Schizosaccharomyces pombe: one gene and its partner. The protein of the gene in region 2 binds, or shares a complex with, the protein of the main gene of each other region. Each region holds a gene or a part of one and is shown on either strand. Other genes may lie near its edges. A codon is read from its position in the direction of its gene.

Region 1 (5,140 bases), on a different chromosome or scaffold from region 2:
CAAGAAATTGAGAGCAAGCGAATACAAGGATCAAACTGTCTAACGAGACAGAATAACTGAGTAATATATTCATCACCATTAGGCCCAAATATCTCTGATTTAAATAAGGCGACCTTATCCTTGTTTCCCTCAAAAACATTTTCAATTTCATCTAAATCCATATCGCGAGGCGAAACGTGACCATTTGATTCTAGCCGGGTTTTCTCTCTTTGTTTATAAGACTTCACATGCTGTTTTAAATAAGCATTCAAAGTACCCAGGGAGTTAGTAATTAAGATAGAGCAATCATTCCAAAATCTTCTTCTGGAATACAAGCGCAATTGGGTAGCTCTGTTAGTGATTTGAAATAAAGCAGAACAGAATCGTGGAGAGTCTCCAACTTTAGAGTTATAAAGGATAAGACGATGCAAAATCTTAGAAGATAAATTTGAGATACGCAACACATCAAGAGAAGGTTGTTCTTTCAAGGGTAAAGTATACAAGTCAAACATTTGATTAATTATAGAGTCCGAATGTAACTGAGTGACATATTCTGCTGCTTTGTCAAAACTCAGCATTGTGTTAAAAACTTTAAGGGTGATATTCAGCATTCCATATGGTGTACTATCCCTTTTCGAAATCATTTGCATAACGGAAAGAAGATCCTCGTGTCGTAAAAATTGAACGAAAGGGTCCTGGTCCTCACTCATCAAGGAGTTTAAAACAACAAAAACTTGATATTTTTCATTCATGGATAAATTTTCTAAGGAAAATAAATTAAGCAACAGCTTTGGAGCTCCATTGCGAATTGCATATTCTTTTCTGTCGGGTCTTCCAATTACCCAATTTTTGAAAGGAACGATATACCTCAACAACTCATGCTCATCCTTAAATATTTTAGGATTTTCTTTAAAAAACGAAGAATCCGTAGAGTCGTTAATGGCGACCATTCATGAACAAAACTTGAAGATATTTGCAAAAAATATGAGACTTCAGTAAATTTGGAAAACTAGCGTGAAAATGAGCTGATTAAATCTTTTTTTAATAAAAGTAGATTATTAGCAATTTAATCTATGCAATGAGTAATGTATAAGATGCAATTCCTATAGAATGGTGGTGATGTTATGTGTAAGAGGGTTCCTCAATACGTATTTTATACTTACAGAAAAGTTACATATTAGTTTTATAGTCTTAAGTAGACAAAAAGTACAAACGATTAGAAGTATTATTTGCTTTTTATATATTTATCTTAACAATTGTAATGAATTTAATTGTGCTTATATCTAAGCAAATTACCGAATGATTACATCCAAAGTAGAATGTACAGTTTTGCCTTCTTTTTTTTTTTTAAAAAAATAAAAGGTTCTTTAAAGTTACTAGTACAAAACAAGAAGTACGAGATTTTTACTCCAAAAATCAAAGCGTATTGTCGAAGTAGAACTTTTTTCATAAACATGAAATTATGGATAAACGGGGGTAGGTGCAATACGCTTCTTTGATACTTTTGAAGATTCAACTTTTCTGGGAATTAGTGTTGTAGTAGCTGGTCCCCCAGCCGTATTGTCTTGTGAATCATCAATACTAGAGGGTGAAGCTGATCGTTTCTCCGGCAAAGAAATTTTGTGTTGACTTTTGACACCCAATTCTCCAGGTTCAAAGGTAATTACAGAACAAAAACCATCTATAGAAGTCATTAACAAAACATTTCCATCATCATTCCAAGCTATGTCTGTAAGGTTAGAGTAATGTAAATTTACTGCACGATAAAATGGTTTGCAAGTTTGCGTATCATAAATATAAACAGCATCTTGACATGCCACAGCAAATACCATTCGATAAGGAAGATTAAAAGAGACAGAAGTAAAAGAGAAGTTAGAGAATGAGTTCAATTCATAATGAATTGGAGAAAAACGAACCGCAATAACTGGTTTTTTGAATCCATTAAGACAAGCTACTGGCTGTTTGGTTATACTCCCTCTTGTATAAATATAAGCAGTATAGGGAACTTCAAAGTTTGGTTGACCGTGCGGTCGAAGCCGACCAGCAGGCGTAACTAGTAGTAATCCGTCAGGGGAGAATGCTGGACGACGAAAAAAAGAAACAAGAGTTTCATTGCAGTACAAAGAGTAACTGATTTTTGAATTGAGAGAATTTGGAGGCTCTGTTCGCTCTAAGCTTCCATCTTTGACTATGTTTGCAGTTGATGAGAGAGCTTCGTGCTTAGATACGGGAGACTCATTATTATTAGAAGTTTCGATAGGTTCTGATATCCCCGATGATTCATCATTATTTAAGGGCTTCGTAACAGATATTAATTCGAATTTAGTTACATTATACTCAATACGACAGATGCGCGATTTTAAAACGAGTTGGAATTTTTTCGGATTCTTTTTTTCCTCTTGAATTTCGTATAAACATATAGAACGATCACTACTTTCCGAAACGATGTATTGATTCAAAGGATCCCAACATACCCCTTGAACGTAATGTGAATGGTCGAATTTTTGAGTAAGCAGTTGCCCTTCTTAGTCAGTAATTTTAATTTAAAAAAAAATATTGCCAATAACAACAACTGCCAATTCATACCTGTGTGAGCATCGTACAACCGAAGACTATTATCCATGGCGCCGGCAATAAGAAAATTACTGTCAACCGACCAGCATAAATCATATATTTCTGAACCCATCGACCTACAAACTATTTTGACCTTCCAATATTCTTTAGCTAGAGCCAACTCTTCCGCATCATCAGCCAAAGTTGTTATAGGAGTGTTAGTTGGAACCCATAACATAATAGTTCCTTCATCTCCGGCGGTAGCAAGAATATTTCCTATTTTAATGTGAGCATTGGAAAAAATTATTAGCGAATACCTTCTGGATTGAAACGAACGACGTTCACTGCTTGCGTGTGTCGACTTAACGTAGACAAATATTCGACTTTTGTGGATGATTCCGAAGTGATCAATTGCCATATCTGGATATTAGTATAATTGAAGGAATTTTCTTTCTTTTTTTTAAACTACAACAAACAATAGTTGAAGCAAAAATAGTTTTATGTCAAATCATTACCCTGATTTTACTGTCTCCTCCACATGTAGCAAATTTATTAAGACTGTTCTTTTGAAAATCAACTGAATAAATAGGTGTGTGATCATCATTAGCATCATAATGCCATCGTATCTGCAAAACCTCCGCTCTCATGTTCCTCTTCGTCGTTAGTGCTCTAGGATCGCTTCGCACAATTTTTCTAATAGTAATTTCGTGAGTACGGAACTAACGTGTATATTATTTAGAGTTCAAAGAGAATTTTTTATGAACTCTCTAATATTGTTGTTATTTCTATTATTTGTCAATTTGCTTTGGGTTCAATGTTCAAGCAGCATTAGTAGTTGGAGGAAAAATTTTGAATTATATGCTGAGTGCCCGTTATACTCTATTTTTTTTTATCTATTTAAAGCCCTTTAGTTTGCACAATAGTCTTCTTATTAGCCGTGCGATTACTATGTTTAGTGTTAGGTAAGTTTATAAGGTTCGATTTCTTATAAATATTATGGACTTTCACAGTTGAAATTGCATCCTTTCCCCTTGGTTTAAAAACAGAGTATTTCATATAATAGAGTACAAAATTTGAGGGTTTAAAACGCGTAGTTTACAAGTCTTGGATCAACATCATTTTGGTTTTTAGACATTTTATTATCTTCCATAGACTCATCATTTCTATTGTTTTTTTTTTAATATCTTATCATTTAGGCGGTGAAATTGCGTATAAAAACTGTCAACTATAATAACACATATGAATTTAAAATCTAACTTTTTCTTGTAAGTAATATTTTTAGCTTAAACAAATACTTTGATATTATTATAACCTCTTACTTCATCGTATAATTCCCTAACTACACGCGACGACTTGGTTCACGGTTTTGTACAATCGATGCCGTTCAGCTCTGTTATATTGCTGTTGAGAGTGTCATAAACAACAAGCAATTTTGATGATCAAAATTCCTTAAACGTTACTTTTTTTTGTAAACTTTCTTGCCAAAGGTCGCTCATTTGTATGTGTTATTGTTTCATTCCAGATTTATCTGTTTACCTTTCGTACCACATACTTTTATCTATGTAAATCAGAATGTCAGGACCAGATCATGTTCAATGTCCTGTTTGCGCGAAAACAGTTACGATGAATGACATTAATCCACACCTTGATTCACATTATTCGGACTCATCAGGCCCTTCGAAACCTGTTTCACCCTTTTTTAAAAAGGAACGCTATAAACATCATTTAGAAACAAATGTCTCATCTCACCAGAGCGCTACAAAATTTATAGAGCCTGAACCCAGCCCTACAAAGAAAACTAAACTTACAAGACGGGATACACGACCACTGGCGGAACGAGCAAGACCCAAATCACTAGATGAATATGTTGGTCAGGAAGAGCTGGTTGGTGAGCGAGGCATCATTCGTAATCTGATTGAACAAGATAGGTGCAATTCCATGATTTTATGGGGTAGTGCTGGAACTGGAAAGACTACGCTTGCTAGACTAATTGCCGTTACAACAAAATCAAGGTTCATAGAAATTTCTGCGACTTCGACGACTGTTGCTGATTGTCGTAAAATCTTTGAAGACTCACAAAATTATCTCACCTTGACAGGAAGAAAGACTATTATTTTCTTGGACGAAGTACATCGTTTCAACCGTGCGCAACAGGATATATTTTGTAAGTTTGATATTTTTTTATCTCTTCAATTAACCATGACTAGTGCCAATGGTTGAAAAGGGTCTAGTTACTCTGTAAGTGATGCATTCTAATATCACAAATGCTAACCTTTGAATTAGGATCGGCGCAACAACTGAGTATGTTTAAACACTAATGTTTTCCACCATGATTAACATTGTAGAAATCCTTCTTTCCGACTAAATTCTGCTCTCATTAGCAGATGCCCCGTTTTTGTGCTTAAGAAACTAACGCGTGATAATGTTAAGAAAATATTAAACCATGCTTGCTTACTGGAAAGTGAGCGACTAGGATCTTCTATGCCCAACGTTGAAACATCTATTATTGATTACATATCTGCTATTACAGACGGAGATGCTAGAATGGCCTTAAATGCTTTAGAAATGTCTATTGGAATGCTAAGACAAGGACCCCTGTCACTCGAAG
Region 2 (5,039 bases):
AGCTAGCTGTGCTAAAGTTCAGTGCCAGTGACGTTGAGCTTAAAAAATAGAAAATAGAATAGAAAAAGATGAAATGGCAACACATTTGGCAGAATGATGTCCAAGGAAATCGATGGGAACATCAAAGGGTCAGAAACAAGAGAATAAAGCGTGAAGGTGTTCAAAGCCCACCTACCCACTTGCAATGAAGGTTGAGCGAGACGCAATAAGTTTTAAATGATAATTGGAGGGTCTTTCTTTTTTTTTTCTTCGCTCAATGAAAAAGGAGATAAACAAAATTGCAATAATTCATGTCTTTTAATAACGATATTAATTAGACAACTCGAAAAGGTATGTGGGTCGAAAGGCGTGTGGGGAACTCAAGAGGGCAATCAGAAAGTAAAGCCAACGTGTTTTATAATACGATGGGGAAAGCGAGGGATGGATCAATCCAACCAACAGCGACCAGTACAAGGGAATTTCTCTACGTAAAAAAATGCTAAAGGCCGCTAAAGGGCTGATCCATCCAACGGAAAACAAACACTTAAAGTAATCCAGTCATTCGTCCAAAAACTTTTCTGAGAATTCGCAGTTTTAACAGCGTTCTTACGCATCTATCCAAACGAACCTTATTTTTTTTTCTTCTTCATCGAACGAATCATACAAAAAACATCAAAAAAAGCGATTAATCAATTCAATGGTGCATCAACAACTCTTTCTGTACAAGTGTTGCTTCATAAAGAGGGTTAAACGACTTTACTTCTTGGGAACAGTCTGACGATTCTGAAAGGCCATCATGCTGCCGATGTATTGGCACAGATACTCGCTTTCTCGACTAATGTTTTCAGATTCCTGTTTGTTTTGATCGATCTCATCCAACAAAGCTATCAATTGTTAGTCTTTTCTTTCTCCAAAACGCACCGCCATCGTACCTTGCAATTGCTGTTGCAATTCCATCGCTTTCCTATCAATTTAGCAAAGAACTAGCAAAACCACTTACTGCTCCATCAAACTTCTTGGCAAGGAATCTGTACTCATTGAGTAATGCGCTTTTTTTGTTTTTTTGCGGAAAATGGGAGGTTGGGAAGTGTCTTACCAGCGTAGCGTCAATACATGTCATTTCCCATTGCTGTGACTTAGGGGTGTCACTCAATTTAAAGAGGCCACTGCAAGAGACATTATCCTTAATTGAGTTGAGTATTGCTATACGCAATATTTAAATAGCGTTTTATGTCATAATACGTTTTATTAGCGAACGGATTACATTGGAGTACGCAACTGATGGGTCTTGCAATAAACAAATATACATAGGGCGAAAACTAGAATGAGTGCTGCTGTCTTTTGGATGAATAAGTTAAATATGGAACATACTAATAATGGATCCACACATTAATAAACTGGAAAAAGATCCCGTCCCGTAAGGATAAATCGAGGAGAGAAAGCTTGCGTCTGTGCCCTAATTATGTTTTGAAAAACATGAAATGCACACTTCATACACCAGGATGCGAAAGTCTTTCAACAATTTACATGGGAAAAAAAGAAAATAATAATCTAATAGAACTCCGTTCCAAAATATGGAACGTTGGTACAAATGATGCGTTTAGGGCGATTGGAAGAGGCATACAATAGATGCTTCTTCCCTCCATTATGCAACGGAAAGGTCGACGGTTCAAAAATGAATTTAAATAAAAGATGTGTTATGAAAAATGCTTTATGGTAACAGGAAAAAAAATGCTATTCCTCTTTTCCCATTCCATAGTTTTTATTCTCACACTATCACCAGTCATGAATATTTTACATCGAAAAAATAACGGGTAGAGCGATATATATGCGCAAACTAAAAGAGAGTATACAAAAAAGTAATCATGTTCTTTATCGGATTAGTTCTTGTCAATATTAGTATTAGCATTCAAAAAATAGTCCGATTATCATTTTACTGAGACGTCTCTGGTTTCTCCTCAGGTTTCTCTTCCGCAGCTGAAGCATTTGCAAGAGCCGACTCTTCTTCTTCTTCCTCTATATCAATTTCTTCTTCTTCTTCTTCTTCCGATCCTTTCCCATCATTTTCTCCTTCTCCATCACCATCACCTTCTCCATCACCGTCTCCATCGTCTTCCTCCTCCTCCTCCTCATCGCCTTCTCCCTCTTCATCGAATTCTTCCTCCATTTCATCAGCTTCCTCCTCTTCTTCCTCTTCGTCCGCGTCAGGCTGAACTGGTGGAGCATCGTCAAAGTCGGGATTATCCCACTGAATGTTGAATCGAGTCACCCTTGGCTTTTCTGCTAAAATACTGCGCCAGACTTTAGAAATGTCAACCTTGACCTTTTTAATTTCTGCATCGTCCATTTCCTGAAGGTTCAGGCCCTCCATCTCATTGTTGACATAATAACCTACTCGAACAAACTCATTATCCTCATATGCACAAGAGAGTAAAATAACTGTGACACCCAAAACATCGCTGAGTTGAGGTAAAAGATCGATATTAGGAGGATCAGCTTCAAAAACGAATTTATTAATCCCGATTGGTATAGGTCCCACTAGTAGCGTGTCCAAAATTTGGTCGTAACTTTGAGACGTCGCACTACCTACATATGTCAACTTCCATTCCAGGTCGCTTTTTAACGGCTCCAGACATTCAAAGGTAATTTCGAATTTATATGGATCAGAGAACTTTGCCGGATTATTTAGCACATTAACACTAAGGATATTCACGATTGACATTTCGAAGTGAAACGCGTCTAAGCGATTGCCAAGAACAGCGTAGGTGAAGAAAGGTTTCGTAGAGTTCGGATAATTAAGGATACGCTTGACTATTTTATATCGCTTTTCGTGCTCTAAGGTAATAACACCTATTTGATTCAAACATATAAGGATTAAAATGCAGTAAATATAAATACTGAAGGCACATCTAAACAATGCCTCACTATTCGGTAAACAATAGAAAACATAACCATTGTTAAGTATTTTATGCGAAAGTACGAAGAACTTACAGAGCAGTTTAGTTAAACATAACCGTTGTTTAATAAAAATTTCTATTTCATTAATAATGCATGCAATGTACAATTAATATGATCATCAAATTTCATTGTGCAAAAACAACTCGTATGTGAAACATAAAAAATAGACATAACCTCCTTCATCTCTAATTATTAAAAAAGATATACAAGCGGATTAAAACATATATTTAGGGTTATTGTAAGTTCCTTCGATCATTCGGTTATATAATATTGATGCAGCTTAACAGCAAATCCGAATGACTTGTTAATGATGTGAATTTCCATCAGTATGGAATTGTAGTACCATCATAGTTGAAAAAAAATCCATTATTTTCGGGCTTCAAATTGTCTACAACTTTCAACATATCTGAAGCGCTTTGGTCTGGTGCCAAGGCCTGTTTCGCAAAGATATCTAAAATTTCCGGTTTCGCTTCAGCATGCTGATTTACAGCTTCCTGAGCTGAATCGGTTCGAACCATTCCGGGATGAATTGAAATCACTATGAATCCTTCATCTTGTAGCTCAAAACTAATTTCCTTCATTGTAAAATTTAAAGCAGCCTTGGATTGGCCATAACCAGATTGGTTAAATGGGAAGAAAGCACCCATGGATCCAACTAATGATGAAGTAAAAACAATGATTTTAGATTCTCCTTTCTTCACAAGAGGATAAAAGGCTTGGTAGACATGAATTGGTCCTAAAACATTGGTTTTATAGTGAGAGTTCCAGACATCATCAGGAGTATTCAGAACAGTGTTGAAAGAATGAAAAATGCCCGAATTTACCCAAAGAACATCTACTTTACCTACAGCTTTTGCAACTTCTTGAGCGGCTTCATTAGCACTCTCTAGAGAGGAGATATCTAACTTAATAATATGCACATTGGAATGAGACTTGCTCCATTCTTGTAATTCAGTAGCAGCTTCAGGCTTGCGGGCACTTGCAAATACAACTGTTCCTTCTCTGTTGCTCAATTCCTTAACAAGAGAGAGTCCAATGCCTCGATTTCCTCCTGCAATAAAGTAAATTTTGTTGGTAGTAGACATATTCTAACACAATATTTGAATGATCCTTGAATCCGTTTGAAAAGTGTAATTTGGTGTCGGCAATTTATCATTAACTTCGTGCTTATATACCAATTCTTCAAATCATTATGCTTACGTGATTTGAACCGTGAATTTTGATGCTTACATAATTGAATATACTTCCAAAATCAGCAGGTTCATAGTAGTTCACGTAGAGCGTTAGGTGATATTTTGCCATATAATATGGATATTGCAACTAATCTTTATAACCCGTTCCATTGGTTTGTCAGCTGCTTCCTTGATACTGCTTGCATACTGAATAGTATTCCTTTAAATGCACCTTTCTTTTAATTTCCTTGATAAAGTATCATAAAGGGAGAATTTATTTGAAAATTGTTTAATTGATAATGCTGAGACATTGGCCATAGGAGAAAAGCGTTGAATCAGGATACAAAAAAACAACTCTTTTAAACCTTGAAGTCCTTTCACAATAAAAATTATTAAACAAAAAAAACATAGAAATAGAATAATTTTAAGATAAAATATAAGTTTGCAACCGATTTAAGCATTGCTGTATGAACACTTGAATTTTTTATATGCGACGCCCTTCTTTATATATCCAAAGGTTGAATAAAACGTATCAAGATCTAAAACTGCTGAACAATCCAAGTGGCACCTTGGACTCGCTCAAACTTTTTATGCTCGTAAACATTTGTAAGAACATATGAAATTAACAAAAAACAATTGTTTGAACAAATCATACACTGGAATCTAGAGAGCAAAGTACCTTTAAAAGGGGATATCAAAACCGTCATGAGTACGAAAAGATCCACTGTTTTCGGGTTTCAAGTCGTCTACAACCTTTAACATTTGTGCAGCACTTTGATCGGGAGGAATGGAATTTTTTTGAAAGTATTCTAACATGACAGGATGTTGTTTGGAAAAATGCTCACTGGACTCTTTTGACATCTTGGTTTGTACAAGTCCTGGGTGAATTGAAATTACAATAAAGCCTTCATCAGCTAGTTCAAAACTAAT

Evidence for each region. Proteins that work in one complex are often made in the same cells at the same time.
Region 1: the proteins of asf1 (region 2) and pcf2 are in contact, whole or in part, in a crystal structure (PDB 2Z3F), measured with the Schizosaccharomyces pombe proteins. Residues at the interface, in NP_588267.1 of Schizosaccharomyces pombe: Phe28 (codon at 2,620), Asp37 (codon at 2,593), Leu60 (codon at 2,524), Leu61 (codon at 2,521), Val62 (codon at 2,518), Gly63 (codon at 2,515), Pro64 (codon at 2,512), Ile65 (codon at 2,509), Pro66 (codon at 2,506), Gly68 (codon at 2,500), Ile69 (codon at 2,497), Asn70 (codon at 2,494), Lys71 (codon at 2,491), Phe72 (codon at 2,488), Val73 (codon at 2,485); in NP_594450.1 of Schizosaccharomyces pombe: Lys503 (codon at 1,472), Arg504 (codon at 1,469), Ile505 (codon at 1,466), Ala506 (codon at 1,463), Pro507 (codon at 1,460), Thr508 (codon at 1,457), Pro509 (codon at 1,454), Val510 (codon at 1,451), Tyr511 (codon at 1,448).

What each region holds. Positions count from the first base shown.
Region 1 is NC_003424.3:4,117,938-4,123,077, reverse strand, and holds pcf2 (CAF assembly factor complex subunit B Pcf2), read right to left. Parts: upstream 3,205-5,140; 5' UTR 3,180-3,204; coding exon 3,048-3,179; exon of another isoform or gene 2,953-3,047; coding exon 2,850-2,952; exon of another isoform or gene 2,809-2,849; coding exon 2,566-2,808; exon of another isoform or gene 2,501-2,565; coding exon 1,440-2,500; 3' UTR 1,204-1,439; downstream 1-1,203. Other genes in the region: protein Gid5, read right to left, coding at 1-929; mgs1 (DNA replication ATPase), read left to right, coding at 4,105-4,696, 4,740-4,770, 4,816-4,833, 4,878-5,140. UniProt on the Schizosaccharomyces pombe protein: Acts as a component of the histone chaperone complex chromatin assembly factor 1 (CAF-1), which assembles histone octamers onto DNA during replication and repair.
Region 2 is NC_003421.2:1,641,855-1,646,893, forward strand, and holds asf1 (histone H3-H4 chaperone Asf1), read right to left. Parts: upstream 2,731-5,039; 5' UTR 2,702-2,730; coding exon 1,913-2,701; 3' UTR 1,048-1,912; downstream 1-1,047. Other genes in the region: SPOM_SPCC663.18 (GTPAse-interacting protein), read right to left, coding at 736-863, 912-943, 980-1,017; osr1 (dehydrogenase), read right to left, coding at 3,261-4,022. UniProt on the Schizosaccharomyces pombe protein: Histone chaperone that facilitates histone deposition and histone exchange and removal during nucleosome assembly and disassembly.